Linked DNA regions of Danio rerio. The protein of the gene in region 1 purifies or fractionates together with the protein of each later gene. This does not show direct contact. Links are inferred from orthologs where the notes say so. Each region holds a gene or a part of one and is shown on either strand. Other genes may lie near its edges.

Region 1 (3,831 bases):
TTTTGTCACATTATTGGCTCCATATTACTTGCCCTTTGCAACTTCAATACAAAATCCATCAGCGTTTCTGACGGGCTCCTCTTTCTCATGATCAAACTTGATGAAGACATACGGGTACAGTTTCTAAAACCACACAAATTGGCGCACATAAGTCATTTTTGTCCAGCTCCCATGATGAATGAGGGAACAGTATTGAATTGTGGGTAGTTTACCTTATGAAAAGAATTGACAGTACCGACGGCCCCAATTTTGCCAGCGTAGTTCAAGAAGCCCAGAGTTCCTTCAGTTGAGCCGTAAAATTCTTTGATTTCAACATGACCGAATCTGTTTATGAACGTCCTCCAGATATCCGGCCGGATGCCATTCCCAATGGCCATCCTGACGTTGTGCACTTGGTCACTAACACACTTGTAGAGCGAGAGAACAAACATGAGGAAAAAACAGCATATTATAAAGATAGAGCACAGAGGAGGAGCAGAAAAACCAAAAGGGCATTAAAAAAGTGGGAAAAGGAGAAAACACTGAACTATTGAAATGTATTTAATACTTTGTGATGACAGCTTAAAGACACCTCTCATATGGAGAATGAAGTCACATGCATTTCTCAGCTGTGATATTTTCACAGACTTCAACAGAGTGTCACAATCAAATCGTCTGAATCAAATCTGATCTTGATTTCTTTTTCAATTGGATTTACATCAGGTGATTGGCTGGGCCATTATACAGCTTGATTTTCTTTCTTGATTTGAGAGTTTCCTTGGCTGTGCTTAGGATCATTGTCTTGCTGAAATGTCCTCCCTGGTTTCATCTTAATCCTCCTGCTGATGTAGATGTTGGAATGAAGCAGCTGATATTCATTTACGATGGTCGCTGAAGAACTACTGAGAGATTTCTGCTGCTGTCTGGGCCTTCACTGCCTTTCTACACCTCCCTTTCTTCATGTGTTCAATACTTTTTTCTTGGGTTATTTCATTTTATTACACATAACTTCATTTGTAATCTAATAAGTTTTGTTGTCTTTGTATATATGGATTTCTTAGGTTGATACCAACATCTGGTGAAAATTTCAAGCCAACGGAACCTTTAGAAATATGTTTTCTGAGAAAAAAGTCAGCAGCAAAGCTTTTTATTTGATCTGTGCATTCTCTTTATTTTCAAGTTACAGTGAGGGAAATAAGTATTAAACACGTCACTACTTTAGTCAGAAAACATATTTCTAAAGATGCCGTTGACTTGAAATTTTCCCCAGATGTTGGATACGACCAGAGAAATCCATATATGCAAATATAATTCTAACAAATATTACTGATTAACAAATGAAGTTCTGTCTAACAAAATGAAATGGCACAGGAAAAAAGTTTTGGACACATGAAAAAAGGAAGGTGTAGAAAGGCAGTGAAAGCCCAGACTGCACCTGAAATTCCTCAGAAGTTCTTCTGCAAACCTTTGCCCATCGTCAGTGTAAATGAATATTACCTGCTTTAGTCAAACATTTACATTAGCAGGATGAGGAAGATGAATCCAGGGTGGACTTTTCAGCAAGACAAGGATCCAAAACACAGCCAAGGAAACTTGCTTTCAGAGAAAAAAAATCAAGCTGTAGAATGGCCCACCCAATCCCCTGAGATGAATCCAATATAAAATACAAAATAAAGATCAGACTTGATTCAGACGATTTGACTTTACTAGTCAAAGTAAATTTAGAAATCCCTTTGTTCTTTTTTTCATTTGCGTTTCCATACTTCTGATTTGGGTTTGCATTAGTTCAGTGTGCTAGACTACTTTAACCCTTTAACAGGCATCATAACCACTGGTTGACCAATGTGGCCATTACCGCCGTGGCTTATACCGACGGCACTTTAAATGGGCAAGCATGTGTTTTTAATGTATGACCGCAGTTTGTGAATATGCCGCCAGGGGGCACAAAGGGACGTGATGCAAATGGACAGAAATAGCCTATACAGCAGCTGTAAATATGCTACTGTGCTTATAAATGAAGATGAAATGATAAAACAAAGCATTATAATTCCTTCATTAATCATAATCAAAATTTGTTAACACCCTTTATTATCATTGTACACTAGTTAAGTGCAATGAGGATTCACTTTGGAAAGTAGAAATGAAGAATTAAAAGACAACTAAAATGAAAGCACAAACATTCGGTACAAATAAGTAGGCCTAAATAAATAAACAAAGCAATATTTTAGCCTAAATAGAGAGATGTTCAGCGTTTGCTGTTTTGATAGGACTAAGACAGTCATTAAATAAGCTTTTTCATTTGTTTTTATTTACATTATATCTCATATTACATCATATCTCATTTTATGTCTCAATTATTGTACATAATAATAAACAAATATTAAAACATTAATGAATAATGAAAATTGACCTAAATAATTATTTATTTTAAGACATTGCAGCGAAACACTCAGAAACGGTCTGGTGCATGGTCTAAAGAGCTTAAGTTGAATGCTGCTTCATCAAAAGCATAAAAATAAATTGACCTACCTCAAGCAGATCACTAAAAGTATAATAAAAATAAATAAAGTCCCGCAAATTAAATAAATTAAGCCGCAAGTTTAGTTTTATTAATGTAGTTTCAGTTCAGTTTGTTTTCGAAACGTCTATGTTCTCCTTTAAAGTATAATTGTTGTTTAGTTTAGTTTTTCTACTTGTAGTAATGGCTCAGTACCTTTTGTATTTTAATTTCAATTTCACTCACCTCACGTGTGAAATATAATGAGCGTATAACCGCGTAAAAAGAAGGAAAAACTGTTAAAGGTTAGAGCTAATTCATCAAAATTAGCTATATGCTAATTTTGCTATAGTTATCATTATCATTTTAATTGATTCTTACTATTTTTTAGAGTTGTGCCAGCATATTATTCAATACAAGATGTGGACCAAAAAAAGTGCCCCTTTAAGGGTTAATGACCTTTCCTTGAAAAAAAAAACAAATGGAAGATTTCAGAAAGGCGGAAGTCTGTAGCTGCGTCCCAAATGGCACACTATACACTATGCACTCATGCACTATGTACTTATGCACTTACACACTCAACAGGATAGTATATGTATGTAGTGTCGTCCCAAATGGCACACTAATGTTTTTTTTACTAAGCGGAAATTCAAACCGTTTTCCTGATGACGTTTGACAGTCGCCATATCAGTGAAATAAACGACCGAATTATCAAATAATACCTGCCGTGAGTATTGCCGCAATCACTATCGGGAGGTGCTATAATCACTCTCGTAAAAGAATTTTGCTTTCACCATCCAAATTAAATAAAGTTATTCAACATGTGCGTCCGATAGCTCCGCCCCTTCCGCTACGTAAGCAAACCTGCGGTCGTTGAGTGCGTGAAGTGTCCATCATTACACACTTAATTTTAGCGGCTGAATGAGTGCATCATCCGGGTAATTAAAGTGCACTTATTATTTTTAGAGTTTTCAGTGTGAACGCACTACTTACACTATTTATACTACAAAATGGCGTAGAATAGTGCATAAGTATGGGATTTGGGACGCAGCTTGTATGTTTGCTGTGTGTTTTGAGGTCATTTTGAATGGCTCCACATTATATATATGGATTCTTTCTTTCATCATTGCTTTCTGGAGAACGTAACAGCTTAACAACACAGCTTGTTCAACTCTTGGCTATAAAGAGAAATCTTCAGCTAGCAAAACTTTCTCTTCAAATGGTTAAAGATGTAAACAGTAAGGTTGTGTGATCATTGTGTGCAGTTTGGCTTTTTAAATGCTGCTATACCTTTGGCATGTTGCAGAGGTAGCGCATGGTTTCTCCAATATACTGAATCACAGTGACGTTATACT
Region 2 (3,831 bases), about 26 Mb from region 1:
CCTGACAGTTTAGCGGGAAGCTGCAAAATAAACCCTGACACTCTGACTAATGTAAGGAGAGTTTACTCACACATGACTAGTTTTAGCTCTTTTGATCCGATTAGAAACTTTGCAGTGTGAAAGCGAACCGCTCCAAGAGCAAAAATGTAACAATTGTAATCTCTGTTTCGGAACAACTGAATCGATTCACAGGTGTGAAAGCACCCTTAGAATATCACTTACCAGTTTGATAATGATTTGATCAGCTGTAGTTAGAAATATGCTGTTTTAATCTTCTAAGCAAGGGCTTATTATGCAGTCCTGGCGCCATCTTGTGGATAGACAACGTCAACCAGCTTTGGCTAATTGATGCCAACGTGCTGTCTCCCAGAAAGGATAAATATTTTAAAATAGGCATTTTATCTTATAAATAAACTGCATAGTTGCAATCTACACAACTACATTTTCGACTAAAAAAGCTTTAAAAGTACATTATGTTGTCTAATAGCTGCAATATTTGTCAAACTGTAAAGTGTCCTCTTGTCGCTGTATGTGGGCGGAGTAATACAGAAGAGTGAGGAGGCTGTACATATGCTGTTATTGCAGAATATGGCACGGCTATCAGCCAATCAGATTCAAGAACCAGACAAAACTGTTGTTTAAATAAAATATTATAGATTATTATATATAATATTTACAACTATCAAAATGTGATATTTAGTAAGTACATTAATTTAAGTGTTACGTCAGGGAGTAACACCAACAACTCAGGTATATGCAGGTTTATTCAAAGTCAGGCAAGCGATGGTCAACACAGGTGCAAACAGGTATTTAGAAACAGTCCAGAATCACAGTCGAATACAGGCTAGAGGTCAGAAAGGCAGGCGGCAGGCAAAGACAAAGAGGCTAACAAGGCTAACGGTCGGTACACAAGATAACAAGACAGGCAAAACCCGTTGTAGTGTTACTAGTGACAGATAACAAGACTCGGCAAACTGAAGGGGTGAATGTGTGGCTTAATTAGTGTGTGTTAATCAGTCTCTGACAATCTTCAGGTGGTGTGAATGTAATCAGTCTAGATGAGGAAGCATGTGCGAGTGTGACCGGAGTGCATGTATGAATATGTAGTCCAGAAATGGTGGATTTGTAGTCCATGGTATTTGTAGGTGCAAACCAGCGATCTTATGGGAAATGATCGCTGGTAATCATGACAGTAAGAAACAAAAACATGGTGTTTTAAAGAAAACACAAATTCTAAAAATATTTATATATTAAAAAATGTAAAGGTGAACATTTATTAATAAATACTTCTGCTTCAATCAACTGATTATCAACTTGTATCAATTACAGTGAATTAATAGTACATATATACATATAATTATAATGCAGTTACGTGATGTGTGTGAAAACCTTTCAAACTCTTTTAATCACATGGTTACCTGTGTCTGTGAAGTTTGTGGACTCTTCCATGTGTCTGTATCTCCGCAGTGGATTTGCTGTTGAAGGTTGGGGAGTTGCTGGATAAGCTCTTCGATGAGGATGAGGAGCTGATGAAGAGCTGGGTGTCCACCTCACACAGCGGGACTGACCTGCAGACAGACAACCAGCCGGACATCCTGTCCTCTCTGCTGGAGGCCGCCAAGCAGCTCAGGTAAGACGCACAGTACAGGAAAACCTGCCGAGGGGATTACCAACCAGCGTTTTAGCTGGAAATCTGAGTTTAGGGTGATGGAAATGTGTGTTTGTGTGTGTTTTAGATCAGAGAGTCCGGAGGCTCTGGAAGTGTATCTGCATTCACTTCAGCTGCTGACTACAGTAGAGGAGGGCATGCAGGCTCTGGGTGAGATACACACACACACACACACACACACACACACACATTTTTTTATTTGTTTGTTTTTCTGTGTGGTTTATGATGACTTTTACTGAACATAATGATTTTTATATTGTACAGACTGTATATTATCTTACCCCATCCCTCACAGAAAAGTAGTGGCTAATTTCAAATCTCAAAAAACTCTGTTTAGTACAATTTAAGTCTTTTGATTTATGAGAACACAATGTACATGTTGTAGTTCGGTATCAGTCTTTTATTTGTTTTAAAAATGTTAATAATTAACCTTTATCCGGCCCGGATTGGCTAATCGGGAGGACCGGGAGAATTCCCTGTAGGCCGGTCTGTTTTTTGGCCGCGAGGGCCGGTGTCCCTAGCTGCTTGCACTCTCAGCAGTCACACTTTTTACTTCAATTTATTTATTTGGCAAAGCTTCACTCTTTTTATTCATTATTTTGCCGCAGTGCAGCTTCTTTTTATTTATTTTCTCGCAGCCCCGTGAGAAAAATGCAGCCTGCAGGTTAACTAACGTTAATGATGATAATGTAACTATCGACCCCAAACAGCAGCACCTTAGTGAATATAAGAATTCGAATAAAATGAAAAATACACCTGCTCAATGAAAATCAAATGATTCACTACATTAATAAATCTGACATAACTTGATCAGAAATCTAAAAATGGGAGAAAAAGATTGAGCCACCAAAAGAAAGTAGTGCTGTGTCTTAAGGGTCGCAAGTCATTAATTATTTTTTACTCTCACTGTAATAGCGCCATTGTGGTCCAGTGGTAAGCACGTTGCGTTTCAAAGCCGCGGACCCGTGTTCGAATTTCCCCTGAAAAATTTTTTTTTTCATTTTTATTGTTAAGACATAAAATACTGTTAGGGCTGTTGAACATTTGAATTTCTAAAGCAGCAGTTTTCTTGAAAAATACGTGATAGTGCCATTAGAAACTGAACTGAGGTGGGCCGGTCTGGCTTGAAACTCCAGGGCTGAAAATGAGTCCCACTCCGGCCCTGACCGGTATATAATGATTTATTTATTCATCTAAATTATTTAATCATTTTCTTCCGCTTAGTCCAGGGATGTTCAAGCTCGGTTCTGGAGGGCCAGTGTCCTGGAGATTTTAGCTCCAACTTGCTTCAACACACCAGCCAGCAAGTTTCTAGTATATCTAGTTAGTGCTTGATTAGCTGTTCAAGTGTGTTTGATTAGGTTTGGAGGTAAAATCTGCAGGACACCGGCCCTCCAGGACTGAGTTTGGACACCCCTGGCTTAGTCCCTTAATTATCAGGATTTGCACAGCGGAATGAGCCGCCAACTATTCAAGCTTATTTTTTATGCAGCGGATGCCCTTCCAGCCACATCCCAGTACTGGGAAATCATTCAAATTATTGTATTAATATTAATTTTATATAATATTAATAAATTATATCTTTTTATCATCATAATTTTTGTTATTTTAAAGCCCTAAATTTGTTTTATGACTATGATGCTGATAAAATGTTGCAATTATGATAAACATCTCACTTTTCTTCAAATCAGTAACCGTTTATTTTACACATTTATCCTTACACATTTTATGTGGTTACTAGGGCAATTACAGTAAAATGTGCATAATTGCATGCAAAAAAAACAAAACAAACCACCAATGCTATAGTTAGATTTTTTTTTTAAATGTATTATTATTAATATTGTTTTTTTTTTTTTCTTTTGGTCTGATTTGTACCTGATCTGCAGTTTCAGATGAGTCGTGTGGTTCTGCAGTGTGGACGTTCGTCTGTGAGCTGCTCTGTGAGGATTTCTGTCAGCCGGACGATCCACCGCTCATCCTGCAGGAGCAGAAAGCTCTTCTGGCACCGGCACTCGCTCTACTGTCAGCGTTACACTCCAGCCTGCACACGCACATCAGTAAGAAACACACACTTTACATACACCAACATTTTTACTGTTTTACTGTTTACATTGTTTAGCCACTTCAGCATTATGACTTACTTTAAAGGTCTGTTCAAAGTT

Evidence for each region.
Region 2: the proteins of slc27a2b (region 1) and saal1 purify together in Homo sapiens (co-immunoprecipitation; 3 studies listed by BioGRID and IntAct, with this or other methods). This does not show direct contact. The link is inferred for Danio rerio from reciprocal best matches to the Homo sapiens genes SLC27A2 and SAAL1.

Annotation. Positions count from the first base shown.
Region 1 is NC_133200.1:34,731,650-34,735,480, forward strand, and holds part of slc27a2b (very long-chain acyl-CoA synthetase precursor), read right to left. Parts: coding exon 3,767-3,831; intron 408-3,766; coding exon 213-407; intron 124-212; coding exon 33-123; intron 1-32. UniProt on the Homo sapiens protein: Mediates the import of long-chain fatty acids (LCFA) into the cell by facilitating their transport across cell membranes, playing an important role in hepatic fatty acid uptake.
Region 2 is NC_133200.1:8,891,844-8,895,674, reverse strand, and holds part of saal1 (protein saal1), read left to right. Parts: intron 1-1,418; exon of another isoform or gene 1,419-1,467; coding exon 1,468-1,630; exon of another isoform or gene 1,631-1,736; coding exon 1,737-1,819; intron 1,820-3,544; exon of another isoform or gene 3,545-3,555; coding exon 3,556-3,726; intron 3,727-3,831. UniProt on the Homo sapiens protein: Plays a role in promoting the proliferation of synovial fibroblasts in response to pro-inflammatory stimuli.